Linked DNA regions of Elephas maximus indicus. The protein of the gene in region 3 interacts with the protein of the main gene of each other region in a biochemical or structural test. Links are inferred from orthologs where the notes say so. Each region holds a gene or a part of one and is shown on either strand. Other genes may lie near its edges.

Evidence for each region.
Region 1: the proteins of ESR1 (region 3) and SMARCE1 form a complex in vitro, tested with the Homo sapiens proteins (3 studies listed by BioGRID). The link is inferred for Elephas maximus indicus from reciprocal best matches to the Homo sapiens genes ESR1 and SMARCE1.
Region 2: the proteins of ESR1 (region 3) and CREBBP form a complex in vitro, tested with the Homo sapiens proteins (2 studies listed by BioGRID). The link is inferred for Elephas maximus indicus from reciprocal best matches to the Homo sapiens genes ESR1 and CREBBP.
Region 4: the proteins of ESR1 (region 3) and RELA form a complex in vitro, tested with the Homo sapiens proteins (3 studies listed by BioGRID and IntAct). The link is inferred for Elephas maximus indicus from reciprocal best matches to the Homo sapiens genes ESR1 and RELA.

What each region holds. Positions count from the first base shown.
Region 1 is NC_064837.1:47,751,763-47,759,320, forward strand, and holds the start of SMARCE1 (SWI/SNF-related matrix-associated actin-dependent regulator of chromatin subfamily E member 1), read right to left. Parts: upstream 3,020-7,558; 5' UTR 2,965-3,019; coding exon 2,838-2,964; intron 882-2,837; exon of another isoform or gene 836-881; coding exon of another isoform or gene 829-835; intron 656-828; coding exon 612-655; intron 1-611. UniProt on the Homo sapiens protein: Involved in transcriptional activation and repression of select genes by chromatin remodeling (alteration of DNA-nucleosome topology).
Region 2 is NC_064830.1:61,817,217-61,824,791, forward strand, and holds the start of CREBBP (CREB-binding protein), read right to left. Parts: upstream 3,002-7,575; 5' UTR 2,817-3,001; coding exon 2,732-2,816; intron 1-2,731. Other genes in the region: uncharacterized protein LOC126087487, read left to right, coding at 3,582-4,160. UniProt on the Homo sapiens protein: Acetylates histones, giving a specific tag for transcriptional activation. Mediates acetylation of histone H3 at 'Lys-18' and 'Lys-27' (H3K18ac and H3K27ac, respectively).
Region 3 is NC_064819.1:223,110,051-223,117,295, reverse strand, and holds the start of ESR1 (estrogen receptor), read right to left. Parts: upstream 3,013-7,245; 5' UTR 2,497-3,012; intron 1-2,496.
Region 4 is NC_064825.1:128,815,178-128,822,878, forward strand, and holds the start of RELA (transcription factor p65), read right to left. Parts: upstream 3,007-7,701; 5' UTR 2,886-3,006; coding exon 2,879-2,885; intron 2,270-2,878; coding exon 2,243-2,269; intron 2,147-2,242; coding exon 1,995-2,146; intron 1,828-1,994; coding exon 1,679-1,827; intron 539-1,678; coding exon 447-538; intron 99-446; coding exon 1-98. UniProt on the Homo sapiens protein: NF-kappa-B is a pleiotropic transcription factor present in almost all cell types and is the endpoint of a series of signal transduction events that are initiated by a vast array of stimuli related to many biological processes such as inflammation, immunity, differentiation, cell growth, tumorigenesis and apoptosis.

The DNA.
Region 1 (7,558 bases), on a different chromosome or scaffold from region 3:
AAAAAAATTACTTCACAACTATTCATTCTTTAGACATTTTGAAACTTATCAATTCCCAAAACAAAAAGATATTATTCATAAAGTGGAATAAAATAGCAGGATCTGACCCAGAGATTATAAAATCATTACTTGAACAGCTTGAAAATAAAGATTTACAATGAGTGCTATTGTAGAACTAGAAGCTTTATTGTTTGATTTAATACGAAAATTACGTATAGACAAAAGAGGAGAGAAAAATATAACCAATTGAAGGTTAGGTTTTAAAAAAAAAAAAAAGCCAGAATGAGCATTCACTCAATATCAACTTTAAAGACTCTTAATAATAAAGATTAATAAGGGAGAAGTGTTAAACTTGTCGCTTATTTCCCGTTTAGAAGAAAAAAAGTGAGCATAAGAGATCAGAATTTTGGTAGTATGTTTCTTTAAATGTTGGGGTTGGTTCCAGGTAAGATGCAAAGAGTTATTTTTCTATTTAGTAGGAAGTGCTGTTTTTTTAGCTGACTTTCTCATACTGTTGTTGTGTTGATTGAGTGACTGTCACTGGAAGACATCTGGGTTTTTGTATCAAGGCCAGACTTGGCTATTACATTAACAAGAAAATTAAAACTTACTGTTGCAGGAGCTGGGGTGGGAGGTGGGGCATAAGATGGTCTTTCTGTTTGAAAGAAAATAAATAACTTCTTGTAAACAACTGAGATATAACACTATGCAACAAAACTACCAATGGTCCTGTTTTGAAGAAAAAAATGAGAGTATTTTGGAATTCCCATTTGCTAGGGCATTAGTCTCTTATTAACATAGATTGATAAATATAAAAATGAAACTTACTTGACATTTTGGAAGATTTAAGTTCTCAGTTCCTTAAGAATGAATCTGAGACACTAAAATAAAAAAAAAAGAAAAAAAAAGAAAAAGAAAAAAAAAAAGAGAATCAAAACTCAGCAAGCATAAGAGAATGTTTTCCTAAAAAATAGGGTAGTTTAATTGGTATTTCAGAGTAAAATTAGTTCTCTTTATCTGCTAGTAATCAAGCCTTTTGTGTATCGTTTTTACTAGTTATTGTTGATCATTTGGTTGATCAGAGTTAAATGACTAAAGCAAATCACTAGGGACATTAAGAGTAATATTAGACATGTACCCTTAGGCTTTTTTTTTTTTTAATGACACTGAGCCACCTTTTGTATGGAAAACATTTTGCTGATGCTATGTAAACAATCTGATAAAAAGATGACAATAGAATGTGATGTATTATCTGGGCCCACCCCAACAAGGCCTAGCAGATACTGACAGCTTCCTTATCAGAGCTCTACCTTTGCTTAGGTAACAAACTTCCAATAAAATAGCACTGTATTTTATTCCTGGAGGCTGTGCAAAAGGTAATTGGTATGATAATGAGCTGTAGCATTCTCTCATAGTGGCAAATAGCTTCATAACTGCTGAGAATAAATTTTGAAAGTCTACCTGAAAAACTCTTATTCGTCCTTCAGAGCCATTTTCAAGATTTAACTCCTCAATGGAGCCTTCCAAGTAAGTTACCTGGGCAGAGTTAATTGCACCCTCCTCAGTATTCCTGGCAAATTTACATAAATCTCTGATATTGTTTATTCTATCTCACTTTTTATTTGTCAATATGACCAGATTATGTGCTGTTTGGGATTACCAGCTCACAACACAACCATATACATGTGGGCTGGTTCCTTACGTCAGTACACATCGCAAAGAGTAGAGTACAAAGAGACGAAAAGTTCATTTTTAGAAAAAAAAGGCAAATAAACTTCTATGTCTACTGGTGCACTTTCATCCAAACGTTATATTAAACAAACATGATTTTTTGGTCCTAGTTTGCATTTTAGGGGAATTCCCTAGAGTACAAGAAATAAGAGGCCTGATGTGGATGGAAATAGCTTATTCTATCAATGGCCCCTCCTGGCTCTCTCTCTTTCCTTAAAAAACAGGCAGAAACTATTGGTCCAGACTTCCCTCCTGCTCACATTCAGGGAGCTGTCAACACCCAGTAGGCCTTGTTCCGGGGAGCCCTAATGACAACTGCCACAAACTGCTTGTACATCACTTTATTGTTAATGCTTTGCAATTATTTATCTCCCCTACTAGGCTACAAATTTTAAGAGTGGGCTTGTACATTTGTTTGCCACTGGATTCAATCCCAGGGTCTGGCACGTAATACTCAGTATTTGTTGAATGAATGCCTCATAAGGGATAAGCTTATCATCTACGCTCTCCTGTTTAATAGCTACAACTACCTTACGAAACGTTCATTGCTATCCCTATTTTACAAATTAAAAAAAAAAAAAGGGACTCTTAGGGAATTTAGGTAACTTGTCAAAAGCCACACAGCCAGGAAGTACTCGAGTTGGGTTTCAAACCCAGGCCAAACTGTTTCAGAGCCTTCGCTCTTCACTCCAAGCCACACCGTAAATTACCACGTCGTTGCCTGGACCAAGAGGAACCACACTCCTGGGAGTGAGGACCAGGGGCACGGTTTGCTCCGAGAGCTTCCTGTGAAGTCGTTTCCTTTGTTTGTCGGGGAAAATGCACTTTACCAGCAACTCAACTAAAGGGGTGTATGCGTAAGTGCTCTGGTCAATTCCTGAGGGCTACTGGACAGGGCAAATGCTGCCGCTGAGGAGAACCCACAGACGGGACTCCTTACCAATCCTCACACCGCTAGGCCTCAGAGTGGACGCAACCGGCCCCACCTCTGGCTCCGCTGCCAAACCTAAACCCGGGTAACCCCTGGGAAGTCGGGGTCCAGCCAAGCGGGGACATCACAGCTCGCCACCCTCCCAACCCGGTCGGGCCCGCTCCAAAACACTCACCCGCGGGCAAGCAGAGCGCCCGCAGCTTCAGCTTCGCTTCCCTTTGTCCCGCACACGCCCCGCCCCTCGCGCGCCGAGCTTCCGTACTCGCACTTTCGACACTTCTTCGTAATTTACTTACAGACATCACCCGCTTTTCTCTACAGAAGTAAAGCTTCCATAGTGGGCTTGGTGATGTTTAGTATAATTCCTGATTTTTAAAGGCTTCACAGTTCCTCAAAAGTTCTCTAATTTGGGCACTTTCCCAGCCAGGCGCCGATTCGTCACTACGGAAAGGGCGGAGGCGGCTCGGCCGCGGGATAGGCCCGGATTTCGCTGCTGGGAGGAATCAAAGCGTCTGCAACGTCGGGTGACGCGGCGGGCGGTGCGAAGCCGTACTGAGAGGAGGCGGGGAACGTGGCTTCAGCTTAGTCGGAGGACCGCGGGAATCGCGACGGGGCGTGAGGCTCCGGAACCACCCGGCTGGGCTCAGGTAGCGCTCACTCCATAGGCTCTTCTTTTCTCTTGCTTCTTCGGCTAGAGTATATACTTACGCAAGCCGAGGATGGAGCCGGAGAGGACTCTGTTGACTGAGTTTTACGTCCTCACAGGCATTCTCGGGTCTTCCTGCCATAACGTCCGGGCATTAGCCTTGACGAAAAAGCGCTGCCTCTCATTTCCACGGAGTTTTTCAGTTTTCGTTTTCAAGCGCTTTTATGGTGTAATTGCTAGTTTTCTGAGACAAGACCCAGAGATGTTAAGCCCTTTGACGCAGCGCGCGGGGTGCCACTGGTCTCTGTGCCAAAGCGTGCCTTGGCTCATTTGGTTCCCTCCGCAGGGAACGACTGCCCCTCACTTCAGCTTAAACTCATTTGTTCTTCTCAATTCAGCTCAAATGGCTGTTCCTCATGCCGTCCTGGGCTCTCCCTCCAATAATCCTTCCTCTCTACTCCCATGGCACTTTGATAACTTCTTTACTGTAGTCCTGTACTCAGCCCATTGTATCAGGTTGTGTTTGTCAACTTCGATGCATTATGAGGGCCTTGAAAATAAAGATTCAGCCTTCTGTTTCGATCGTCTTTGTATTACCAGTGCAATATTGCTTGATCCGTTATTAAAAGCCGTTACTTTCGAGTTGATTCTGACTCTTAGCGACCCTATAGGACAGAGTAGAACTGCCCTGTAGAGTTTCCAAGGAGCGCCTGGTAGATCTGACCGCCGACCTCCTGGTTAGCGGCCGTAGCACTTAACCACTATGCCACCAGTGTTTCTGATCCGTTATTAGGTGCATAATAAATGTGTTTTGAAGCGGATTTATTAACTAGTCCTGGGCTTTTCCCACAAAATCATAATCACGAGTAAGTAGGTTTACCATGTGGAGTGAGCGGCCCCTTCCTTGGATATGTAAACACCTAGCTGATGTTGTGGGTCACTTTGGAGGAAGAAGGAACAAATGAGATCCCTAACTTGTTATTACTATGCTGACAACTAAATGACAATAGTGTTGACATTTAGAGTGACTGAATTTTTGGGCTGCTCTTCGGCCGTCCTGGGTGTGCCAGTAGGGAATGGGGTATCTCTACAAGGAGGCAAAGTCAATATTTTTGTACTCGTGAATGGGGATTAATGAAATTGAAGAGCATATTGATGGGAAAGATTAAAGGAAAGATTGCCAAAGGATAACAGGCAGTTCGAGTGGTGGTTAAAATAATGTACATGAAATTGTTGTTTTAATATAAAAGTATCAGAAACATGTAAAGGATTAATGTGAAATACAGGAAGGCCTCCTCAGGGATCCCGTACCTCTTTGGCTTTGTCAAGCAACTCTAGCCTGATTTCTGCACTGCCTTTAGGGTTATGGTTGGGGGGCGGGGGATTGGTCAAGTGTGTGCAAGGACACGTGGTCTATTGTGTCATCTCCAGGCAGTCCTCTGAAGAAAAACCACAGGTACAAGATATTAGGAAAACCACACTGTAATGGGAGAGTTGTGGCACAAAAATGATGAAAAGGGAAAGGTGAAGCAGTGACATTGACTGGTATGGTTTCTTACCTCCTTCTAGTCTTTATTCAGTCTGCCAACTTCTCAGAAGGTCTTTCCTGACCTATTTAAAATTGCAACTTGTAGAACAAAATAGGAGGACTCACACTTCCTGATTTTAAAACTTACTACAAAGCTACAATAATCAAAATGATGTGGTACTGGCTCAAGGGTAGACATATAGACCAATGGAATAGAGTTGAAAGTCTAAAAATAAACTCATGCATCCATGACCAAATGATTTTTGACAGAGTGCAAGTCTGTTTTTCAATGAAAAAAGAATAATCTCCTCAACAAATGGATTTCCACAAGCAAAAGAATAAAGTTGGACCCCTGCCGCTTACCATATTCAAAAATTAACTCAAAAAGGGATCAACGTCCAAATTGTGAGTGCTAAAACCATAGAACTCTTAGAAGAAACATAGGGGTAAATCTTCAAGACCTTGTATTTGACAGCGAATTCTTAGATATGATAACAAAAGCATGAGCTATAAAAGAGTAAAGTAGAAGAATAGATAAGTTGGACTTGATCAAGATAAAAAAACTTTTGCACATCCAAAGACATCAAGAAGATACTACGCATCAATAAAGAACAGTGAGGAATCTGTGAAACATTTCATAACATGGAGGAACCTGGAAGGCATTATGCTGAGTAAAATTAGTCAGTTGCAAAGGGACAAATATTGTATAAGACCACTGTTATAAGAACTTGAGAAGTAGTTTAAACTGAGAAGAAAACATTCTTTTGTGGTTACAAGAGGGGGAGGGAGGGAGGGTGGGAGAGGTGCATTCACCGATTAGATAGTAGATAAGAACTACTTTAGGTGAAGGGAAAGACAGCACACAATACAGGGGAGGTCAGCACAATCAGGCTAAACCAAAAGCAAAGAAGTTTCCTGAATAAACTGAATGCTTCGAAGGCCAGCGTAGCAGGGGCAGGGGTCTGGGGACTATGGTTTCAGGGGACATCTAAGTCAATTGGCATAATAAAACCTATTAAGAAAACATTCTGCATCCCAGTTTGAAGAGTGGCGTCTGGGGTCTTAAACACTAGCAAGCAGCCATATAAGATGCATCAATTGGTCTCAACCCACCTGGATCAAAGGAGAATGAAGAACACCAAGGACACAAGGCCATTACAAGCCCAAGAGACAGAAAGGGCCACATGAACCAGAGACTACATCAGCCTGAGACCAGAAGAACTAGATGGTGCCTGGCTACAACCGATGACTTCCCTGACAGGGAACACAACAGAGAACCCCTGAGGGAGCAGGAGAGCAGTGGGATGCAGACCCCAAATTCTCATAAGATCAGACTTAATGGTCTGACTGAGACTAGAAGGACCCCGGTGGTCATGGCCCCCAGACCTTCTGTTGGCCCAGGACAGGAACCATTCCCGAAGCCAACTCTTCAGACATGGATTGGACTGGACAATGGGTTGGAGAGGGATGCTGGTGAGGAGACAGCTTCTTGGATCAGGTGGACACTTGAGACTATGTTGGCATCTCCTGCCTGGAGGGGAGATGAGAGGGTGGAGGGGGTTAGAAGCTGGTGAAATGGACACGAAAAGAGAGAGCGGAGGGAGAGAGCAGGCTGTCTTATTGGGGGAGAGTAATTGGGAGTGTGTAGCAAGGCATATATGTGTTTTTGTGTAAGAGACTGACTTGATCTGTAAACTTTCGCTTAAAGCACAATAAAAATTAGAAAAAGACATCAAGAAAGTGAGAAGACAACCTATAGAATGGGAAACATTTGGAAATCATATATCTGATAAGGGTTTAATGTTCAGAATATATAAGCAATTACAACTCAACAGTAAAAGGACAAACAGTCCAATGAAAAAATGAGCAAAGGACTTGAACAGATATTTCACCAACAACCAACGAAGATATAAGTGGCCAATAACCACATGAAAAGATGCTTAACATCATTAGTCATTAGGGAATTGCAAATCAAAACCACAATGAGGTATACTACTTCATATCCACTACGATGGCTCTTATTTAAAAAAATCAGAAAATGTCAAGTGTCGATAAGGTTGTGGAGAAATTGGAACACTTGTTCGTGGCTGGTTCTTGTGTTATTGTCAGGTGCTATCCAGTCAGTTCCAACTCATAGTGACCCTGTGTACAACAGAAAGACACACTGCTTGGTCCTGTGCCATCGTCATAATCATTGTTATGCTTGAGCCCATCCATTGCTGGTGGGAATGTAAAAAGCAGTCCCTGTGGAAAATAATTTGGCAGGTCTTCCAAAAGTTAAACATAGAACTACCATGTAACCCAGCAATTCCATTCCTAGGTATTTACCCAAAAGAATTGAAAGCAGCTACTCAAACAGGTACAGGTACATCAGTACTCATTGCAGCATTATTCACAGTAGCCAAAAGGTAGAAACAACCCAAGTGTGCATCAACATGTGAATGGATAAACAAAATGTGGTATATCCATACAGTGGAACATAGTTCATCCATAAAAAGGAATGAAGCGCTGATACGTGGATGAACCTTGAAAACATCATGCTTGGTGAAATAAACCAAAGGACACCAAAGGACAAATATTATATATGATTCTACTTAAATATCTAAAATAGGCAAATTAATAGAGACAGAAAGTAGATCAGAAGGGGTGGGAGAAGGGAGAGTTATTATTTCTTAAAGGGTATGGAGTTTCTGTTTGGGGTGATGAAAAAGTTTTTGAAATA
Region 2 (7,575 bases), on a different chromosome or scaffold from region 3:
TGTGTGAGACAGCGTTTTGGCACTCCATGTAAAACTAGAAAAAGTTACTTCAACGTCTGATGCCATCAAATTCTGTCACTCCAGAGCTGGTGTTTTACTAGGGTCTGTTTCTCTCCTTTCTCTCAGGGGGAGTCTGCTCCCTCCTTGGGATGCCCCCACCACCAGACTACAAGCACCTTGTGGGCAGGACCCTGGCTGGGAAGCTCCCCAAGGTCAGGGGTACTGTTGGGTCTCCGCCCACCTTGCCTCCAGAGGCCAGTCCCCACAGACCAGCAGTACACCATGGCAGCAGGGTACTCACTCTACTTCTCCCCATTTCTTGGGCCTCCTCCTCTTCCTTCCAACCCCTCAGCTCTTGCCACAAATTTTATCACGTGCCATACCTTCTCCACCTGCCAAATTTTCTGGGAGCCTCCCAGGCACATCCCTTCAATAAAGTAAGGCTGAGTCTCTCAGGACCGCTACTCCCAGGACTCTGGGCACATTCCCATCCCAAACCTTTGGATGGATTTGGTGGACAGTACATATTTTAGTCATTTACTTGCCTTACTATCTCTGTCCACCTCATCACTTGGTGTCTTAGCCTAGTCGTTACTAGGAGACAAGGTTGTACCTCAATTAATGTGCTTGACAATGACTCCTTCCTCCTGCCCCTCTCCCCCAACTAATAGACCCTTCTGTGAAAACGTGATGGACGTGGCCAAGGACTAAACTAAAGTAGGAGCATTAATTTTATTCTTTGGATTATTTAAAAGGGAGCCATTAGAAACAGAATCTTTTGTTCCACATTTGAAAAAGTAAAAAGAGCCTCTGTTTGTTCAAATGGTAAGGAAGAAAAAATGTTAAAAGTGGAATCCTTCCTGATAATCTATGTTGGGATTCCAAAATAAACACCAAACCCAGTGCCTTCAAGTCGATTTCCACGGATTAACAGCACCTTAATTAAATATCTGGCCATCCACTAACAGAACTACTCAAAAAAGCCATCCTTTGGGGTCCATGCTGGAAACAACACCCCTTTTTGCTAAGTCTCCAGTTAATCACTTGCTCCCTTATAAAACAAAACCTATGGTAACCTCATTCAACAACTGCAAAGCTGTGCAGCCACTCAAAAGTTACCCGGTTTCAGAGGACAAGCTTGAAAGCTCAACTTTCCTGGTACGAGCTGTATCTCTACGTTTCCTAAGACTGAAAACTTTTCACTTAAATATGGCAAGGTTTTAAGCAAATAATATCTGTTCTGCAGCAAAACGGCATTTAAAATATGGTTGTTACCAAATTTTTCACTTCGGATAAATTGAGACTTGTATCCCACCGCCCCCAGTTTAACAAAATTTTAACTACACGAAAACCAACTTAAGACCGATTTTTTAAAAAATTGCTTCTCTCATTTCTACATTATTACATGCCACTTTTCATAACTAGATCCCAGGAATTGTATTAAAACTGAAGCCACAAGATTTGTTTCAACAGCAGAACTAGATTTTTGTCTACGCAAATGGACAGTCACAGAAATACTTCCACAAGTTAAACAGCTGTGTCTAGTGCAAATCTGAAGGCACTGCAGCGCGATACAATTCGATTTGGACCCATTCATTATAAATTGATTTTCAGATGCTGTTACTCAAAGCCTGCACTGGAGAAAGGCAAATACTGTATTGCGCTGGAGACCAAAATCGCTTGCAGCTGCACCCAAGTTTTTACTGCAGAATCGAGAGCTCTAAAAGAGGAAATGCCACCGGCTGGTACTGTTACCACGAACCAGCCTAGAAAACCCAGCACTGTTAAGTGAAGCAAAAACTAACATGCTTTTCTTAGGCAACTGATAGGATTACTTAAGAAAGTTTTCATGGATGCTGTTTGATGAGAAGAAAAAAAAAAAAAAAAAGACGATTTACTCCATATTCTGCCAACATTTCTGGAAGAAAGGTAATTTCTACATTTCTTCACATAATTTTTTGCACATCTACACTGTAAAACCAAGACAAGCTCAAATGGAGGCTGTGGCTCAAATGAATCTATTCACTTTCTAAGTTTTATAAGTGAGATTAAACACATCACAGCAACCTTTACAACATCTTGCTAAGGGAGTTCAGGGTTTTGAAAAATGGGATGATTAGGTGACAAGAAGAGTCTTCAAAATAACTACTAAACATTTCCCCAGGAAACATAATCCAAGAAACTTCTAAGTTGCAACTCACAAGCTGGTGGCTGCGTGCGTGTTGGGGTTGCAGGGTTGTGAATACATTACCAATTCAGAAAACACACCAAGTCACCCTCTGGCTCCGAGATTTCTTTCCGTAGCCAGAAATCGTACCTTCCCTCCCCTGTCATTCCTCTAGACAGCCACGCGTGTGTGGACACATGGCCGCAGTCGGAGGCGTGTGATGTGACCAAACAGAATGAACACACTCCACTTTACTTTTTCTCCCGGGAAGTCTCATTCCTCTGCCACGCGACGGGGGCTAGCCAACTCCAGGAAGCCCAGCGCATGCAGGACTCGGGCCGAGTGACAGTCTTCCCCCACAAACTTCCACTCTCCCTGGCGGGGGCACGGGCCGGGGGCTGCGTGGGCCCCACTTCGGGCCGCGATCCACAGTCGGGTCTCGGCGACCCCTGCCCGACAGGCGCTCGCGGGGCGATCCTCAGTCGCGGAAGCCCTCGCCTTGGGTGGGGATGACAGCCCCCGTCAGGCTCCCGCCGCCCTGGGTCCGCCCGGCCCCCTCCTCACCTGTGCTGTCATTAGCAGAAAATCCAGGCGAGCTGAGTTTGGCTCGTTTCGGATTGGGCGGTCCGTCCAGCAAGTTCTCGGCCATTTTCACCTGCTCCCGAGGAGCGCCCCAGCACGGGCTCGGGCGCGGGTCGGTGGGCGCCGGCCGGCGGCCGAGGGAGCGGGGCGGGAGCGGGCGAGGAGGCCAGAGGAGGCGCGCAGGCCGGTGGGGGAGGCGGCGGCAAATCTCAGCCTCAGCAACAGCGCCCCGCAGCGCTCACCGAGCGCCCCCGGCCGCGGCCGCCGCCGCCGCCGCCCGCGGCCCCCTCATCCCCTGCCCGCCTCCTGAGCGCGACACGCCGCGGCGGGGGTGCTCCGGCGGCCCGGCCGCCCCCCGTGCCCGGCTGGCAGCGACGGCGCCGGCCCGGCGGCTCAGACGGTCCCCGGGAACATGGTGCCGCCGCCTCCTCGGCCGCGCTCCCCCCCCCTCCGCGCCCCACTTAATGGATTCACTCGCGGACGGCGAGGAGGGGGCCGGGGGTCCGCGCCCGCCCCGGCCCGCCGCCGCCGGGAGGCAAAACAATGCGCCGAGCGGAGCCGCGCCGCCGCCGCCGCGGCCCCCCCACCCCCGTGCCGCCGCCGCCGCCGCCGCCGCCGCCGCCGCCGCCGCCACCGCCGCCGCCGCCGCCGCCGCCGCCGCCGCCGGGCTCCGGGAGGCCGGGCCGAGGGGCGAGTGGGGCCGCCGGAGCGGGCGCCGAGGGCCGGACGGAGCGGACCGGCCGGCGGAGCGGGGTGCGCGGGCGGTTGTGGGGCCCGGGACCGGCGGGGCCGAGTAGATCGCGCTCGAAGCCCCGATCGGGTCCGCGACAAGATGGCGGCTGTTGATTCCTCAATTAAAAAAAAAAGAAAGTTTTTTTTCTTCTCTTTCCAGAGCCAGAACAGGGAGGGGGAGGGGGCGGGGCACGCCTTGCGTCACTCCCAAGCGTCAGCACGCACGGCCCCGCCCCGCCCCCTCCACCTGCGCCCGCCACGGCGGAAAGAGCCGAGTGCCCCAGGCGGAAAGGGCCGAATGCGCGGCAGAGGAGCTTGTGAATGCCTAGCCCGGCCGTGGGGCCAGGGCCGGGCCTGCGGGCCACTTGGCACCTGGCTTTTGGCGGCGACTCGGGGGCGGAGGCCCGGGCGTCGGGGCCTCGTCTGGGCGGGCCGCCCCCGGGCCCCGCGGTGCCACTGGGCCCCTGCCCGCCACCCTCCCCGACGACGTCCGGAGGGGAGGGCCGGGGCGACCTGGACCCGAGGCCGGGCCACTGCCCCTCTCCGGGTGCCTGTGACGTCGAGTGTGCAGGGTCCGCCACCAAGCGTGTGCAGATGGGAAACAGGCAGGGAGGGCAAAGTAATTCATTCAAGGTCGGCGAGGCAGACAGTGGCAAGGCCTGGATTCGAAACCCTCCAGGTAAGGTGGGGGCACGTAAGACTCCGGAGTCCCGAGCCCGATGCCATGGCGGGGCTTCCAGGTGCGACACCCTTACCTGCCGGAGAAGGGTGGTGGGCGCCACCTCCACCCCGAGCCAAGCGCGCTCTGCCCGCTCCTCTAGCGGAAAAGTTCCCATTCCCTCTGGGCTCAGGGCCTCAGGAGGCACTCTAGGACACCGCCACCACCTGGCACCCTGCAGGTGCTCCAGGCAGGTGTGGGGCCTCGGGGAGACCGGCTTGCGTCGCCATCCCCTGAGGGACAGTCACCAAAACCTGAGGTGTTCACATCTCACTTCGTTATCTGCTCCTCAAAACTTGCTTATCTTAAAGACATCACCAGCTACTCTGTTTCCTAAGCCAGAAACCTGTGAATCAGTGCCGACTCCTCCCTCTTTCTCTACACACCACGCAGCCAGCCTCCCCATGTCCTTTACCTGGGGAAAATGGTCCCGCTTCGTTTTCCACTGCCCCACTGTCGTCCAGCATGGCTCGGGCAGGTACGCTACCGGGCAGCTTCCCATTTAGTATTCCCTCTGCTCTACGCCTTTCCTCACGGAGCAGCAGAGTTAGCTTTCTGAAAATAAGAAAGAAATCTTTAAAAAAAATAGCTCCTATACATAGAAAAAAAAAGATTAGAAATGCATTTGGCTATCCCAGTCCCAGTAGAGTGACTCATGGTGATATAGATATATGTTGTTGTTAGTTGGTGAAGTTCAAGTTGATTCTGACCGCTTGTGACCCCATGTGTGCAGAGTAGAACTGGTCTTAGAGTTTCCAAGTCTGTGGCCTATTGGAAGCCAATGGCCAGGCCATACTTCTGAAGTGCCTCCGGATGAGTTTGAACTGCCAGTCTTTGTGGTTAGCAGTCCAATGCTTAAGCATTCGTACCACCCAGGGGCTCCACAGATATACCAAAAGAGTGAATGTCTTTGAGTGTTGAGACTGATCTGTTTTTTTTTTTTTCCTATTTATCTTTATTGTTCAAAATCTTGTGCTGCACCTCTCACCCTCATTTTCCATCCCTCACTTCACCATCACCGCCCCACACCCCACTCTAGTCACTAGGAAGGTCTCATCAGGACCTTTCTATATACTTCTGCAAATGCTGCTCCCTATGCTGAGAACATATATACCTGGCAACACAAACTCATCCTCCAAGACCCAGTTCAAGTGTCACCTAGTCCAGGAAGTCCTTTATAGAGAGTTCATGTCTACCCAGAACCTCAGAATGTGATCTTATTTAAAATAGGTCTTCGCAGATGTGACTAGTTAAAGATCTCCAGATGGAACCATCCTGGGACTAGGATGGGGCCCTAACCCCAGTGACTGGTGTCCTTATAGAAAATAAGAGGCACAGACACACAGAGAAGCCATGTGAAGATGGAGGCAGAGATTACAGCGATGCTACCACAAGCCAAGGAACGTGTGGAGACACCAGAAGCTGGAGGAGACAAGAAACTGGAAGAGACAAGAAAGGATTCTCCCCCAGAGCCTTTGGAGGGAGTGCAGCTGTGCCGACATCTTGACTTTCAGCTTCCCGATACGTGAGAGAATGATTTCTGCTGTTTTAAGCAAGGTTGTGGCATGTGGTTAGACCAGCCACGGGAGACTAATACACCCTCCTAGACCATGGTAGGGTCTCTCACAGCACTGTCTCTCTCAGGGCATATAACCACATTGTGTCTTTTTTCCTCCCATTCATTCAAGTTTTTATTTATTCATCAAGTATCTCTTGAGAATCTACTGAGGGCATTTCCACTGCATTAATCTCCTGTGGCAAAAAATGAAGAAATCCCTGTATATTCCCTAAACATCATAAGAAGTCCCTGAGTGGTGCAAAGAGTTAATGCATTCAGCTGCTAATCAAAAGGTAGCTCTAGTCTACCCAAGGACTCCTTGGAAGAAAAGTCTGGTGATCTATTTCTGAAAAATCAGCCATTGAACCTATGGGGCACAGCTGTACTCTAACACGTGTGGGATCATCGTGAGTCAGAATTGATTCCATGGTACTTGGTTATTTTAGAAATCATAAACAGAAGTACTCAAGAAGTCACTGTAGGAGGCGGGGCCAAGATGGCAGAGTAGTCAGATGCTTCCGATGATCCCTCTTAGAACGAAGACCCGAAAAAACAAGTGAAACGATTATATAATATGACAAGCTAGGAGCTCCGAACATCAAAGGCAAAGTTAGAAAACGGACTGAATATCAGGGGGAAGGAGAGACGGTTCAGAAGCAGTGAGGAGTTGCCGGACCTGACTCATCAGGAGCCCTCAGGCACGATCCCCTGAAGTGACCACGGCGGGTCTTGCAGTAGCATTCCGGACCCGGTTTCCTCCGGGAGAGACAGTGAGCCACACAGTTTACTCACACCTCCAGAACCAGAGAAGAACGCCACTCTTAGCAAAAGCTAAGTACTTGCTTTTATTTTATCACCCCCTCCCCCGAGCCCCCAAGATGGCTTCACTGACTGTTGATTTCCCTGGGCCTGAGATAGGTCCTGCTGCACACTCTGAGCCATTCTCCTAGCCTTGGAGAAGGAATAAATTCACAATTGGGGGAAAAGATAATCTGCCAGCTCCACTAAGCTGGGGAGCTCAGGACAGAAGTGGCTGCTCTGCAGGCACAAATCGCCCACGGGCATTGAATACCTTTCACCCCTGCATGGACCTTTGTGGACCCATTTCAGGAGAATAGGCAACTGTTTCAGCTGTGTGGTACAAAGGTGGGTTTTTGACATTTGACACCATTTTGCCAATTAAACACAGTCCTCACCTACCCACATCAGGGGCCTAATGACTGGTGGCTCCACTCATATCACCTAGCCACCCGTGACAGGGGTCCAAGGATAAGTGATACCCCCCAGTCCTTACAACCAAAAGCATTGGATGCCCATGGTCCAACTGCAGAACCCACCCACCTGTGCGCTGTAGGGAACAGTCAACTGCTTTCCTCACAAACACTCAGGGAACGGTTGTCAGGCCCCTGCCTTGTTCAGAGTGTGACCCCCACCTGCAACCAGATACCTGTGCCTACATCTATCACTCTTGCCCCTCTAAGACTGTGGGACAGAGTCTGTACCACATGCTTGATGATCAACTATCTGGACACCTGAGCTGAACCCATACCAGAAAAGTGAATTGACTCCTAGGCTCATATACCTGGTAACAGCCCTAGGCATCTGGTGACAGGATGTTAGAGCTTTGAAGGCGAAAATAATCAAGCTAGCTCACTCAAGCCTCCTATTTGGGCATATCAAAACAAAACAAAGCAAGAAGCTAGGATACACTAAGCAAACAAAATTAATTAATACAGTAACTTATAGATGGCTCAGAGACAACAGTCAATATCAAATCACATAAATAAGCAGACCATGATTGCTTCAACAAGCTCTCAA
Region 3 (7,245 bases):
ATTTGTAAAACTGGAACAATAATGTTGACTCCCTGGGGTGGTTGTGAGGGTGAAATGTGATAATTACCTATAAAAAAGCACTGGACAAAGTAAGAGCTCCCTAAATGTTCAGTATTAATATTGCTATTACTACTCCCTGATTGGCACTAAATCTATGTTACCGCTAGTGGAAAAGAGACTGTCTCAGGTCTTAGGCATCACACTGAATTAAAAGTTCACATACAACTCTGCATGCCTGGGGGAAAGCATTACCTAACAGAGAAGCAAAATGCTTCTTTTGATGTATAAATGAAGGTGACACACCTTTTCTACGTTTTTTGACATGCTCTCCTCATAAGAATGTGGCTATCCTCACAGTCACGAAGGAGAAGAAACATGGAGGGAAGGATGCTGGAAGTTTCTGTACTCTCTCTTCCAACACTTTATGCCCATTTCAAAAGCAACAACATTTCAGCCAGTGGCATACTCAGCTGGGTGGATTTCCAACCCTTTTTTTTTTTTTTTTTCCCCAGGTCTAGTTACCAGTTATAGTCAGATGGATAAAAGCTCCTAGCAGCTACAGTGCTGACCATGAGTTTCATTCATTCATCAGCCAACATGTATTAAATACTGTATCAGGCACCGTAGTAGGGCTGGAATAAAAATGGCATCCTCATTTGAGTTTCTAGCCCTTGAAGAAGATTGCAAGAGTGGTTTAATGAGTGGCTTGATCTCATTTATTCCATACAATTCCATCTGGCGGCTACACTTACTATCCTTACTTTGTAGATGAGGAATTTGAGGCCAGAGGTGAAATAATTTGTCCTGACTCACACAGCTAGAAAGCGGTGGGGAGTTCTGGTTTGGATTGAGCCCTGTTGGATTCCAAAGCCCTAGTTGTCCCCTGTGAATTTGAATGGAACTATTTAATGTCTGACTCCTCAGCAAAGGGTTATTCACCGTGGAAGGTCTGAGCAGAAGTCTAAGCTTTCTAGCAAAGTAAAAGATAGCTATTTGAAATAAAAGATGGTTGTTTGACTTTGTTCTTGCTGCAACTTTAAGACATGAGAGCTTTCCATGACTTTCCAAGAGTGATGAAATAAAACAAATATTTCCAACTGTCTAAGAAAAATATCTTGCTAATAAATATGACTTTTGTATTTGTATTCAAAATGTAGCTTTTTTTTCCTTACATGAGATGCTTCCGATACCTAAATTATTTGTTACTGCTAATTTCTTTGAAAATCTAACAACTTCTACCATATTAGATCCAGGCATTTCAAGGCCTAGTGGACGGTCTTCAAGGAATATTCGCAAAATCGGAGCAAACATTGGCTTTGGAGAAACAGAAAGAAATTTTATAGAGTAGAAGATCTGGGAAGTTCTCAACCAACTCCACTTCTTTCATTTCTCTGTGCATTTTACGATTCAGTTCGAAGGCCTCTAATTCACAAGTTCACTGACAACATGGAAATATAAAGACATCTATATCAAGTTCAAAACCAGAGGAATTTCCCAGCCACTACATGCTGGGAGTCACTGTGCCCGTCTATTAGATCCGGCCCATAAAGCTGTTAAAAATCTGGCACCTTTGTACGGGAATCTGTGCCATGATTCTAAGTTCTGATAAAACCCAAACCATACAGTTAGTGCAAAAAAAAAAAAAAAAAAAAAGTTCGCTTCTATGGGCTTGTCCGAGAACAAAAACTTGTCACCTTCTAGACAAAGCATGAAGCTTAGAACTTAACGCACATTTCCTGAAATGTGTCGTATCCCTCTAGCCAAAACGAAAGTAGTCTGTCCTGGCTTTTGTGCCTGCCACATCGCGGCGCAAGGAACTCCTGCTCATGCGGAGACGCTCCAGTACACACCATCCTGCAAAAGGTGACCGATGGTCTGTCACGTCAGAGAAGGCTGAGGTTGCAGGACTCAAAAGGACTGGCCTCAAACCATAGGGCGCTTTAAAGACAGGGTGTCACCTTGTGTTGCAAGATTGTGAAGCTTGTCAGAAAACTCCACTGCTTTCAGGAAGCAAATAACGGCTTATTCAGCCTGCTTGGTTCACACTCCCATGAGTTACAGTACCCAAGATTAAGAAAACAGGTCGTATGCTCCTGCTAGCCTGTGAGCAGACAAATCAAGAACTTGTAAGTTTCCGACACGCTTCCCAGATCCAGAACCTCATCACTAGAGCAGGATCCAATAAATATTCGTTATCTGGGGCGGGCGGGCAGCCTGTCAGCGCTGCGCTCGGAAAACGGTAACTGCAGCTCTCTGACTCAGCCGAATGTTACTCCAAAAGTGGATTTCCACTGTACCGAGCTTCCATTTCACATTTTTCCATGGTAGCAAGGCTTGCCAGCGACTTTGCAAAATACCCCCGGAGCATTCAGAGAAAAACGAACATCTTTTAATGTGAGAGGTAGGCTCTAAAGTTACATCACGCTTGTAAACAGTAGCAGACATAGCAAAAAAAAAAAAAAAGGAAAGAAATTGAGAAGAAAACAGAATACCTACTTGTAGAGAAGAAAGTCACTCAGACAGTGTCCTCTGATGCTATAGAAAGGGCAGGAGAAAGGAGTGGGACCCTTTCAAGCCCGGTGAGGAGCTTCTGAGCCTGGAGTCTGCATTTTCAGTTGGGGGGAGAGCCGTTCTGAGCCTGTACACAGGCTGCTACGACCATGAAATTAGGAAATGCAGCCACTCAAAAATAAAGAACTAGCACCACCATTTGACTAGGATTGGAAAATCGCCTTGGAGAAAGAGAAGAGGGGGGTGGCCGCCTTTCTCCAAGCCAGGCCTGATTCAAACTTCTTAGCTCTTTGGTTAAGACAGATCTTTAATGAGGAATAAGTAATGTGTTAATCTGCCTGAAACATATTTTTATGTAATCCAGCCTATTTCTTCTTTGTTTCTGATAAACCTTGGAGCCAAGACAAGCGTGTGTAGTTGGAAAAAAATAAGTAAATAAAGCAGGTATTCAGCACATAAAGTGTGTTAATTCAAAATTAATTACAGCGAAAACCGGGGGTGAGGACGCGTCTTGGGCGAGTTTTTTTTGGGGGGGGGGTGGTTTCCACGTTCTCATGCAGCCATTGCCTCACCAGCCGGCTCTGCACTTCTCGTCACTGATTAATTCGGTTCTTAACTTTAATAACCTGCACAGGTTTACCTTCTGCCTGGCTTTTGAGCCCCTCCTGCTGTCACATGATCTTATGTCCTAAACTGTCCGGCATTTCCGGCAACAGATTAAGGGTTTGCTTGTTATTTTTTTTCCCTCTCTCTGTCTTTTTACACTGAGATAAAATCCTGAAATCGAAAATGAGCTTTAAAAAAATCATATTGAAATTTTAAAAAATAATATTGGGATTTTAATCATTTATAGTCAGCTCGTGGTCTATGCAGCATGTAGTTTAAAGGATTTTTAAAAGTTGATTCACTTTTTCTACTTTACAAGCCTGGAGAAAGGCTGGTTTTCTGGAAATGAGAATGCCGGGGGGGAGAAAGGAGGGGCAGGAGTCCCTTGCTATTGAGCTTCCTAAAATCTCTAAATGCAAATGGCCATCTGCTGGGTAAGAGGTGAGACTCAAAACTGGCTTGGGAAAAAGAAAACCAAAACTATCATAATCACTTGATTATACGTCAATTCTATCTCAGTGAAACTGTTCAAAAAATAAAACCTTGCCTAACTCAAATCATTGTCTCTCTCTCCCTCTCTGTGTGTATGTGTTTAATAAATGGATAAATAGGATAACTGAGAAAGGAGTCAAACAGACCTTATTTGGTTTAGCTACACCCGCACTGTTAGGAACTATCTTATGCAATTCATTCACGCGCATACACACACATACAAATAACCCATCCCAGGTGATTGGCACGAGATGTGTCCCCTTGAAAACATTCTGAAATACATGTTCTTAACTGTCTTCAAGTAATCTTCTCTATACTTGTGAGGTAGACCATAGATAGAACAGCTTGAATATACAGATTTTCCTAAGATAATTTCCCTGGAACATAGAGCGTGAGACATTTTAGCTAATATGTAAAATATTTCATTTTGATTTAACAACCACAAAAGTTCAACGATTCACTAACAAAGAGTCACATTGACTAATACATTCTGGAGGTCTTATTAGATTGTATCACTTTTATTATGATTTCTGATGAAAGGTAAATAATTTAATAAATGTTTTGAACAGTTTAAACTTTTTGAAAGCAAAATATCTTTTAATTAAATCCCTCAATTATTATATTTGCCAGAATGGGTGAACTACACTTTGCAAACAGCATCTAGCTATTTGTTAAAAATCAGTGGTACACATCAGTACAGAGAAGAAAATTACTGAGAGCAACAGTTCTCAAAATAGGACATCCACTGGATTCTGAACTGAAGGTTAAGATTATTTCCTCTTTACTGGAAAATGTAAATTTAAGCATAATATAAATTATGAATTAGAGTGATTACCCTTAAAAGAACATTACTATCATTCATTTGCATTCCAATATGTGCATTCTCCAGAGAGAGAATAAAAATAATAGCAAATTGGGTGCATACTAGGGGCCAACTACTAGTCTAAGCACTTTCACAACAACCCAATGAGGTAGGTACTATCACAAACCCATTTTACAGATGAGAAAACCTTGGGATGCTGAGATTAAGTACCTGTATGAAGATTTCACAGCTGGAGCCAGGATTCAACCTCAGGTGGTTCAATTCAAGGACCCATGCTTTTAACACTCCACTATGGAATCAGAGGAGTTCCTGGGTAGAGCAAATGGTTAAGCACTTGGCTATTAACCATGAAGACTGGCAGTTCTAATCCACCCAGATGTGCCTCAGAAGAAAGGCCTGGCAACCCACTTACAAACGGTCACAGCCATTGAAAACCCCAGAGAGCACAGTTCTACTCTGACACACATGGGGTAGCCATGAGTTGAACTGTATGGCAACTGGGTTTTCTTTGGTTTGGTGGAATCAGAGCCAGCACACAGGGAATTGCAAATAGGAATATGCTATGGGAACACTCTTGCCTTGTAGATGACATGGGGCAAAAAAAGTTTGGAGGTTTATCTGTGAATGGGTAAGAATGGTTTTATCAGATAGATATAGAAAGGTTATTATGAATAATTTTAAAGTTTTCCGTTCTAATTGAATCACTAAAAATAAAAATATGTGCTTGGATTAACCTTGTTTTAAAATATTCTGTGCCTTCTTATAGAAAAAAGAAAAATTCCCTTTGAGGTAAAGTTTCTATTTAAATTGCATTTATCGCTATTAAACTGAATAATGACAAAACAATAAGAAACGAACAATTTAAAATAAGGCAGCATAATATAATATAATGGGAATAAACACAAGGCAAACTCAATCTCATAAATATAATTCAAAGAGAAGCGCCATGCACTTGTGCTTGGTTTCCTCATACACACTGAAAAACAAAGCCTGACATTTTATCGAATCATGCTATCTACTTCACCTTTATTTTTTTTAAAAAAAGAGGGCGAGGTTATCACACACATGCCTTTATGGTGTCATATTGTGTGTCAATTAACTTAGAGTAATGAAATCTATAAATTCTAGAATTTTTTCCAGCTTCCAAACTTTTTTTAAAAAATAAGTTTTCCCATTCTAGAAGACCACTAACATCCTGGTTTCCGCAAGCAAATAAAGCAGAAAATTGACGCAATCTGGGTCATTGAAGCAAAAAACTGTTGTGTTTTGGGTGATTCAGGCTAAAGTAAAAGAAAAGAAAATCACATTTTTGAATTGGAGAGTGTGTTTTTGTCAGACAACCAAGATGATAGCGGAGTTTGGGACTTAGTTACATAGTTAACTGCCCAAATTCTTCACTTGTCCTTATTAGCAAAGCTGTTTCCATTGGGTACTACTCAAAGCACTATCTCAATTCAATCACACCATAAAAGCAGCTCTGAGCTTCTAGTTTTCCTCATGAAGAGCAACCAAAATGGAAACTCTGCTTGCCTAGAGATAGCAATCAGTACCTGACCGCCCACTCGCTCACCTTTCTAAGAGAGATTGGCCGGTTGTCAGCTGCAGTTGCCAAGACAACCTAGTCAAATCCGTGTGACTCCCACCCCCCACTTCTGATCACAGCTAATTGGGCAGCGATGGGGACCTGGCCAAAGAGCAGCCTTCTATAGGCTGGCCAGTGACCTAGGACATGACCTAACATGAAAAGATGAACTTGGCCAATCACATTCGAGATCTCAGAGTATGACTTTGGAAACTTAGACTGAGCTCTTGAGCTGCAGAGACACAAACAGAAAAGATGTCTTGGAGTAGAGTGGAGGCCACAGTAAGCCTAGGCTATTATCAAGTGAATTTACAGGGTGAGGGGATTGTTGCAGAGAAAACCAGTAAGCAAAGGTTAGCAGATAGCAAGCCCTGGAGCCGTGGCTGCTTGGGAGGGTCTGGCTAGAGCTGCAGTGGCCACTGGCAGGGTTACAGCGAGTCCACTGCTTTCAGGCCAAACCAAACCAGGGGCCCTGGAGTACATTCCAGCTCGTGGCAACAGCGTGTGTGTCAGAGCAGAACAGTGCTTCACAGGATTTCCAATGGCTGATTTTTCAGGAGCAGATTGCCAGGCCTTTCTTTCAAGGCACCTCCGGGTGGACTCCAACCACTAAACTTTTGGTTAGCACCAAGGGCATTAACCATTTGCACCAGGGACTCCTTCAAATGTCCCGGTGTTTTAGTTATGTTCATGTTTTAGTTACGCTCTTCTGATTGCAAGGGACGAGGACTCTCTTGGGTACCTGGCAATAAAGGCTATGGAAGAATTTAGGTAAACTAAACACTCCTCCCAGATCCCAGGAGCTAATTTTTGTAGCAGAAGGCACACAGCCCAGCAGTCCTGTTGTCAACGTAGAGGTCCAGGATATTTGAAAATAGAGCCATAATATGACCAATACCCAGTGACTCATTACTGTTCTTTATTCAATATTGAAGCTCGAGTTGACATTTATAGGGATAAAGGTTTTATTCCTCAAAGAAAAAAAGTGCAACCTACCTTCAGGTAGTAGTGACAGATAATACAGTTAAAACTTAAACCTCATCTATAGAAAGACTTGAAAAACCTGCCTTCATAAATCACATCTCTTCTTTACATAGGAAAAGATATAAATCAAGCCACAAAAGTCCCATGTGAGGAAATTATTATTGAAAATTTCTATAAGATGAAAAAGTGGACTCTCTCACATTTATAGAAGTGACAAAGGAACCAACAAATGAGGGATACAATGATT
Region 4 (7,701 bases), on a different chromosome or scaffold from region 3:
CAGGCGGAGGGGCCTGCCTGACGGGTCGCGCACCGTCACCTGGAAGCAGAGCCGCACAGCATTCAGGTCGTAGTCCCCACGCTGCTCCTCTATGGGGACTGCAAGAGAGCCAGATGGACAGGCGGTCAGGAGAGTGGGGGCAGGGGCACAGGCAGGGAGCGCTGGGCTGGGAAGGCTGATTGAGAACATGGGAAACAATAGACGGCATCCTCAAAAAGGAAAAAGACAAGATTCTAGACCCATCACAGACTCCACCTATGACCCTGGACGTCGTGTCCTGTCTGGGACTGTTTCCTCAGTGGTAAGTGGGAGTCTGTACTGAATGAGAATCCTGTCTGTGCTGTGATTCTTGGTCAATGAGGAAGACACAGGAAAGGTGGCCTCAGGAGGGTGACAGAGATGAGGGTGTACCAGGCAGGCCAGGCCTTCGCCCCCCAACCTCTCACCTTGGAAGGGGTTGTTGTTGGTCTGGATGCGCTGACTGATGGCCTGCTCCAGGTCCCGCTTCTTTACACACTGGATCCCCAGGTTCTGGAAGCTGAGGCCTCCGGGCGTCAGTATGCTGTCTCCAGCAGAGCCTGGGCCCTCCTGCCTTGCCCAATTTGCCCTTCCTCCCTCCCTCTCCATCCCCTATCATCGCCCTCTGCTTAACCATCCCAGTGGCTCCCCACTGGGCTGCAATGAAACCCCGATTCCTGACCCTGGCTGAGAAGCGCTGGATGACCAGGCCCTTGCCAGCTTCCTCCAGCCCCATGGGCTTTTTTTCTGCTCCTAAGCAGCTGATTTTTTTTAAGACGCTAAACTCATTCCCAGTTCTGAGCCTTTGTATTTGTTCTTTCCGCTTGGAACATCCTTTCCCTGCTTCTCTATTTCTCACCATAGAAGTCGTAGCTGAGCAAGGGCTTCCCGGAGCTTCCAATCCAAAGCAATGACCCCCTGCCCTGGGTTATTCTCCTAATCTACTGTTGTTATGTTGTCGTATGCCGTCGAATTGATTCCGACTCCTAGTGACCATACAGAACAGAGTAGAACTACCTCATGGGGTTTTCTAGGCTGTACATCTTTACGGGGGCAGATTGCCAGGTTTTTCTCCCATGGAGCGGCTGGTAGGTTCAAACCACACACCATTCAGTTGGCAGTTGAGCGCTTAACCATTGCACCACCAGGGCGCCTTCCTATCTACTAGCCGGTTTTATTTTCATCACTGAAATGATTACACTCCACCATTCTCTCATTTACTTTCCCGTATATTTACTTGGCCCAGCACTGTGAGGTAGTCAGCTCCAAGGGAGACTGCTGGCTTGGTTTTCTTTCTTGGCACAAGAGATGGGGCACTGACGGACTCACCGTTCCAACCACAGTGCAGGGGTCCAGAGGTGATTAAGGCCCCATCCCTGCCCCAAGGAGCTCACATCTGCTAGAGAGGGGGGTCCATGAACAGATCGTTCCAAGACTAGGGAAGTCTGTTTGTAAAGCTGGGCCCAGGACAAGGGGTGAGGAACTCTGCCCTGTGGCCAGAAAGGAGTAACACTGTAACAGCTTGTGACTGCCCTGCCTCCTGTCCCGCAGCCCACCCCAGGCCTGTGGGGGGCTCACACGTGGATGCAGCTGCCCTGCCTCCTGTGCCTAGCCCCACCTCCTGTCCTGCCAGCCCACCCTGGGCCTGTGGGGAGCTCACCTGTGGATACAGCGGTCTGGGCAGAGCTCAGCCTCATAGAAGCCATCTCGACAGTCCTTCCCCACGAGCTCATGTGGGTGAGGCCGGTGAGGGGGGTCCTTGGTGACGAGGGAGATGCGAACTGTCCCTGGCCCTGTGTAGCCATTGATCTGTCCAAAGTACAGAGAACACCCTAGAGGCCCAAGAATTCCAAAGCCGACTCCCAGACACAGAGGGCATAGTGACCTGGAGGCAAGCCTGCCAGGGCTCAACAGGCCACTCCCCCACCACTCCATACCCCCAGCCTACCCCTGAGAGCTGGTGACGCAGTGCTGACCTTAATGGTGGGGTGGGTCTTGGTGGTATCGGTGCTCCTCTCGCCTGGGATGCTGCCCGCTGAGCGGCCCTCGCACTTGTAGCGGAAACGCATGCCCCGCTGCTTGGGCTGCTCGATGATCTCCACATAGGGGCCGGTGGCCTGGGCCGGCTCTGCAGGGGACATGGTGAGCCCTTATTAGCGGCTGCCCCACTGCCCCAGCTGTGGGGAGATCCACCCGAGCCACTGACGGAGGACAGTCCACTTACCCGAAGGGAAGATGAGAGGGAACAGATCTGGAAGACGAGGGGGCCAAGAGTCAGCATAAGCCACTGTCCATCCTCTGGACCCCATCCCCGCCAAGAGAATATGGAGCCAAGCGCCCACCAAAGGAAACTAAATCAGGGCCTGCTCCTCAAACCTGCAGTGAAGCTAAGGGGTGGGGTAACGGAGCCAGAAACACCTGTTTCCTACGGGAAAACTGGATCTGGTGTCCTTCCTCCCTTTACTTAGGGAAACTGAGTCAGGACCCTCTCTAGTTTCATAAAGAGAGCTGAGGGAGGTTTCTCCCCATCTCCTATGCTGAGGAGAAATCGACTCAGGCACACGTTCCCCTAACAGGGAAACAAAGTTAGAGTTACCCCCATGGACCACGGAGGGAAACTGAGTCAGGGTCTGACTCGCACCCCCACCCAGGGAGGAAACTGAGTCAAGGTCCCCTTCCACCCCGAGGGGAAACTGAGTCAGACCCCTCGCCGCCTGCCCCGCCCCGCGCCACCATCCGGCTCGGCCGCTCCCTGCGCAGCACCCGCCAGCGCAGGAAGGGGCGGAAGGCGTGCGAGGGCTCCCGCCACGGCCTCGGTGGCCCCGCGCGGCCACCCCCCGGGATCCGAGAGCGCCCTCACCTTCCATGGCCGGGGTCCCGGGGGCGGGGCCGGGGTCGCAGCTGGGCCCGCAGCGCGCGCTACAGCCGAGCCATTCGCCAGAGGCGGAAATGCGCCGCGCGCGCCCGACACCGCGTCACTGCCCGGAACCCGGCTGCGCCTGCGCGCTGCGCCGCCGCCGCCGGGAGCGAGTGCGCGCTGCTGGGGGCCCAGGAGGCCTCGCGCGCCGCTGGGGCCGGGAACGAGCGCGCGCCGCGCACGGACGAGAAGGCCGTCCGCCTAGAGCTGCTCCCGGCGCTGCGCGGCGGCTCCGCTCGCTCCCGAGGTCCGGCCCCGCCTGGAGGCGGGCCCGGCGATTACTCACAATATTTTTAGGGGATTTCGGGGCCCCCTCCCGCCGATCGGAGGAGTTGGTGATGTCACCCAGGTCCCGTCTGGAGCGAAGCCAGGGCCGCTGGGCTGCGGCCGCCCGCCCGCGCCGGGGAAGGCCCGGGCTGGCGGCGCCCGAGAGGGCCGGGCGGCTGCACTCGACCCGGGTTTTGTCATCATCGGTAAAGGTGCCTTTTGATGGTAGTTGCTTCAGAAGCTCTTGTTAATATCCTGTTCACCTCAGTCAGATGCCGTTGGGGGGCAAGAGAGCGCCCTGGCCCCACATCTGACAGTGGAGCTTCGCGGAGCTTGCCGCAAAGAGGGGTGGCCGAGGCTCAGGCCCGCGTCCCTGACGCCGGCGGGCCGGGTCGAGTGAGACCAGGGCTCGGAACCTCTCCGCTAAAGGGCTGGTTTGGGATGCAGCCGGACTGAAGCAGTGGGTGGCAAGGGACGCTCAGGGGTACAGTTGTGATCCTCGTCTGGATGGCAGGGCGCCTGCGTCTTGCAAGGATCCGCTCGAACCCACGGGGACACGTCCCCCGCCCGACCCCCCCCCCCAGGGTCTCCAGCTAACGTCCAGCCACAGCCATCGGTGGGGCGCTTCCATTCATTAACCGCGGCGTCTAGAGACGCCTCGGCGCCGGTATCGCCCCCAAGCCCAAGGCGTATGCGTGCCGGGTGGGGGTAACGGACTGGAGCTGGGCAACCCCTTACCCCAGACTGCCTCTTTCTAGAATGATGGTCCGTGGTGGGGTGCGGAGTCTTCTCCACATGGAGAGAGTTTTGTTTTCTTGGAATTCGTTTTAAATTAAGAAATCATTTGGGAATTGGAAAAGACTGGAAATTCTGATTAGCTTTCCCAGGCTCTGAAAAAACAGGAAGAGAAAAGTGAAAACAAGTTACCATCCCTCCCACTCATTTCAGTTTCTCCTGGGGACCTAGTTAGAAAAGTCTACTCACTTTTTTGGAGGAAGCTGACTTCAAGTCGAAAGAATGGATTATTGAAAATCTTTGCAAAATGATGTACAACCATGATTAGTCCATACATGATCCTCTTTTATATATATTAACTTCCTTGAGACAAATTGTGTTTCCTGGATCTGTGGGTTGATGTTTTTCGTGAGTTGTGAAAAATTCTTATCCATTTTCTGTTACTGTATTATCTCTCCTCCATGCTTTTCATATGCTTTCTGGAACTCATGGATAAAATGATTAGATAGGCCACAGAAAAAAATGTTTACAACACATATCTGACAAAATACCTCTATCCAGGATATATAAAGGTCTGCTACAAATCAACAATAAAAAGATAATCCAATAAAATATACAAAAAAACTTTAACATAAACTTCACAAAGGAAGATACACAGTGAAACCTGTGAGAGCCAGAACTTGACGAGACTGTCTCGTTTTTCCAGATCTGGCAAGCTTTCCTCCTTTGCCCGGGTGCAGTCTTACCACTTTTCTATCACTTGTTTTAGTGGAAAATATTTGAGTTTTCCTTCTCTGACAGGTTTTTGCCTTACACAGGTTCCAGCTTTCACAGGTTTTACTGTACAAATAAGTGGTCAGTAAAGGAGTCCCTGGGTGGCACAATAAGCTCTCTGCTACTAACCAAAAGGTTGTTGGCTCCAACCAGCTCATGCCTCAGAAGAAAGCTCTGACAATCTTCCAAAAGGTCACAGCTTTGAAAACCCTGTGGAGTGGAGCTCTACCATACACACATGAAGTCAGTATGAGTCAGAATTGACTCAATGGCAAGTGGCTTTTTTTTTTTTTAACATGTGTAAAGTATTCATCAATAGTCACTAAGGAAATACAGATTGAAACTATAATGAGAAGCCACTTCATAGAACTAGAATAAAAAAGACTAAAGCACCAAAGGATGAAGAGGATGTGGAGCAACTGGAACTCTTACAGGTGAAAGCATAAATGGTGCAAACTCTGGGGAACTGTTTGGCACTGTCTTGTAAAGTTAAATCTCTGTTCACCCTATGGCTCAGCAATTTCTCAAGATAAATTAAAAAAAAATGTGTCCACAAAAGTACAAAGATGCTTATAACTTTTTTCACAATATGAAAAAGGTGTAAATTACCTAAATGTCCATCAACAAGAGAGTGGATAAACACATTGTGGTATAGACGTGCAATGGACTACACTCAGTTATTGTACCTTGCATCTCCTCCCACTGGAAAAGAAGCACAATGTCTGGTAGATTTTTGGGGACTTAGTGCCAGCACATACCGTGGAAATTCTGATCTGACCCATTTACTGAGCAACTTGAAGGCTGTCAGATTTGAATAGGGCCCAGAGCAAGAGAAAGCTCTACAACATGTTCTGGCGACATACAAGAATCCCCGCCACGTGGGCCTTGTGACTCAACAGATGCCATAGTGCTAGAGGTATCTGTGCAAGATAAAGATGCCATGTGGAGTCTCTGACAAGCACTGGTAATAGAGTTGTAACTCAAAGGTGATCTGCAGGAGAGAACTATTCTCGCGTCAAAAAGCAGCTTCTAGGAGGTGGGGCCAAGGTGGCAGAGTAGCCAGATGCTTCCAGTGATCCCTGTTACAACAAAGACCTGAAAAAACAAGTGAGATGATTATACTTATGACAAGCTAGGAGCCCTGAACAACAAGGCAAAGTTAGAAAACAGACTGAGTGGCAGGGGATGGAGAGACAGTTCAGAAGTGGAGAGGAGTTGCCAGACCTGAATTGCCAGGATCCACCAGGCACCATTCCCGGGAACAACTGCTGTGGGCTGGCGGTAGCCTTTGGCCACGGTTTCCTCAGGGAGAAACAGCCAGCTGCACAGCCTACTCACACCTCTGGAACCAGAGAAGAATGGCGCTCTTGGCAAAAACTAAGTACTTGTGTGTATTTTACTGTGCTCCAAGCCCCCTTCAGTGGCTGTCGATTTCCCTGGGCCTGAGATAGGTCCTGCTGAGTGCTCCGAGCCATTCTCTTGGCCTTGGAGAAGGAATAAATTCACACTTGAGGGAAAAGATAATTTGTCAGCTGCACTAACCTGAGGAGCTCAGGACAGAAGTGGCTCCTGCCCAGGCATAAATGGTCCATGGATTTTGAATACCTTTCACCCCTGCATGGACCTGTGTGGGCCTATTTCAGGAGAATAGACCCTTGTTGGCAGACTGCAACTGTTTCAGCTGTGCAGGGGAGAGGGGTCTGTTTGATGTTTGACCCAGTTTTGCCTATTAAACAGGGTCCTCACCTACCCACATCAGGGGCATAAGGACTGATGCCTCCACTCAGGTCACCCAGCCATCCATGACAGGGGTCCAAGGACAACTGGTACCTCCCAGTCCTTACAACCAAAACACCGGGTGCCTGTGGTCCATCTGCAGAATCCACCCACCTGTGCACCGTAGGGAACAGGGGTGTGTTTTCCTCACAGACACTCGGGGGGTGGTTCTCGCCCTCTGCCTTGTTCAGAGTGTGACCCCCCCTGCTGCAACCAGATACTGGTACCTATACCAATCACCTCTGCACTCTAAGACTGTAAGAGAGAGCCTGTACCACACACTTGATGACCAACTACCTGGACACCTGAGCTGAATTCATTCAAAAAAAGTGAATGGATTCCTAGGCTGATATACTTGATAACAGCTCTAGCCACTTGGTAACAGGACATTAGAGCTTAAAAGATGAAAATAATCAAGCTAGCTCACTCAAGCAACCTATTTGGGCATATCAAAAAAAAAAAAAAAAGCAAGAACTAGGATACAGTAAGCAAACATAACTTACATAATACATAATAAAATAACTTACGGATGGCTTGGAGACAAAAGTAAATATCAAATCACATAAAGAAGCAGACCATGATCACTTCAACAAGCTCTCAAAACAAAGAATCAGGGGATCTTCTGGATGTAGGTGCCTTCCTGGAATTGCCAGATGAGGAATACAAAAGATTAATATACAGAACTCCTCAAGACATCACGAGCGAGATTAGGAAGGAGATCAGGCAATATGCAGAACAAGTCAAGGAACACACAGATTAAGCAGTTGAAGAAATTAAAAAGGTTATTCAAGAATATAATGAAAAATTTAATAAGCTGCAAGAATCCATAGGGAGAGAGCAATCAGAAATTCAGAAGATTAGCAATAAAATTACAGAATTAGACAACTCAATAGAAGGTCAGAGGAGCAGAATTGAGCAAGTGGAAGGCAGAGCTGGTGAGATTGAAGATAAAGCACTTGGCACCAATATATTTGAAGAAAAATTAGATAAAAGAATTAAAAAAAAAAAATGAAGAAACCCTAAGAATCATGTCAGACTCTATCAAGAGAAATAACCTACGAGTACCAGAACAGGGAGTGACAAAAGAAAATACAGAGAGAATTGTTGGCAGAAAACTTCCCTGATACCATGAAAGATGAGAAGATATCTATCCAAAATGCTCATTAACCTCCACATAAGGTAGATTTTAAAAGAAAGTCACCAAGACGTATTAT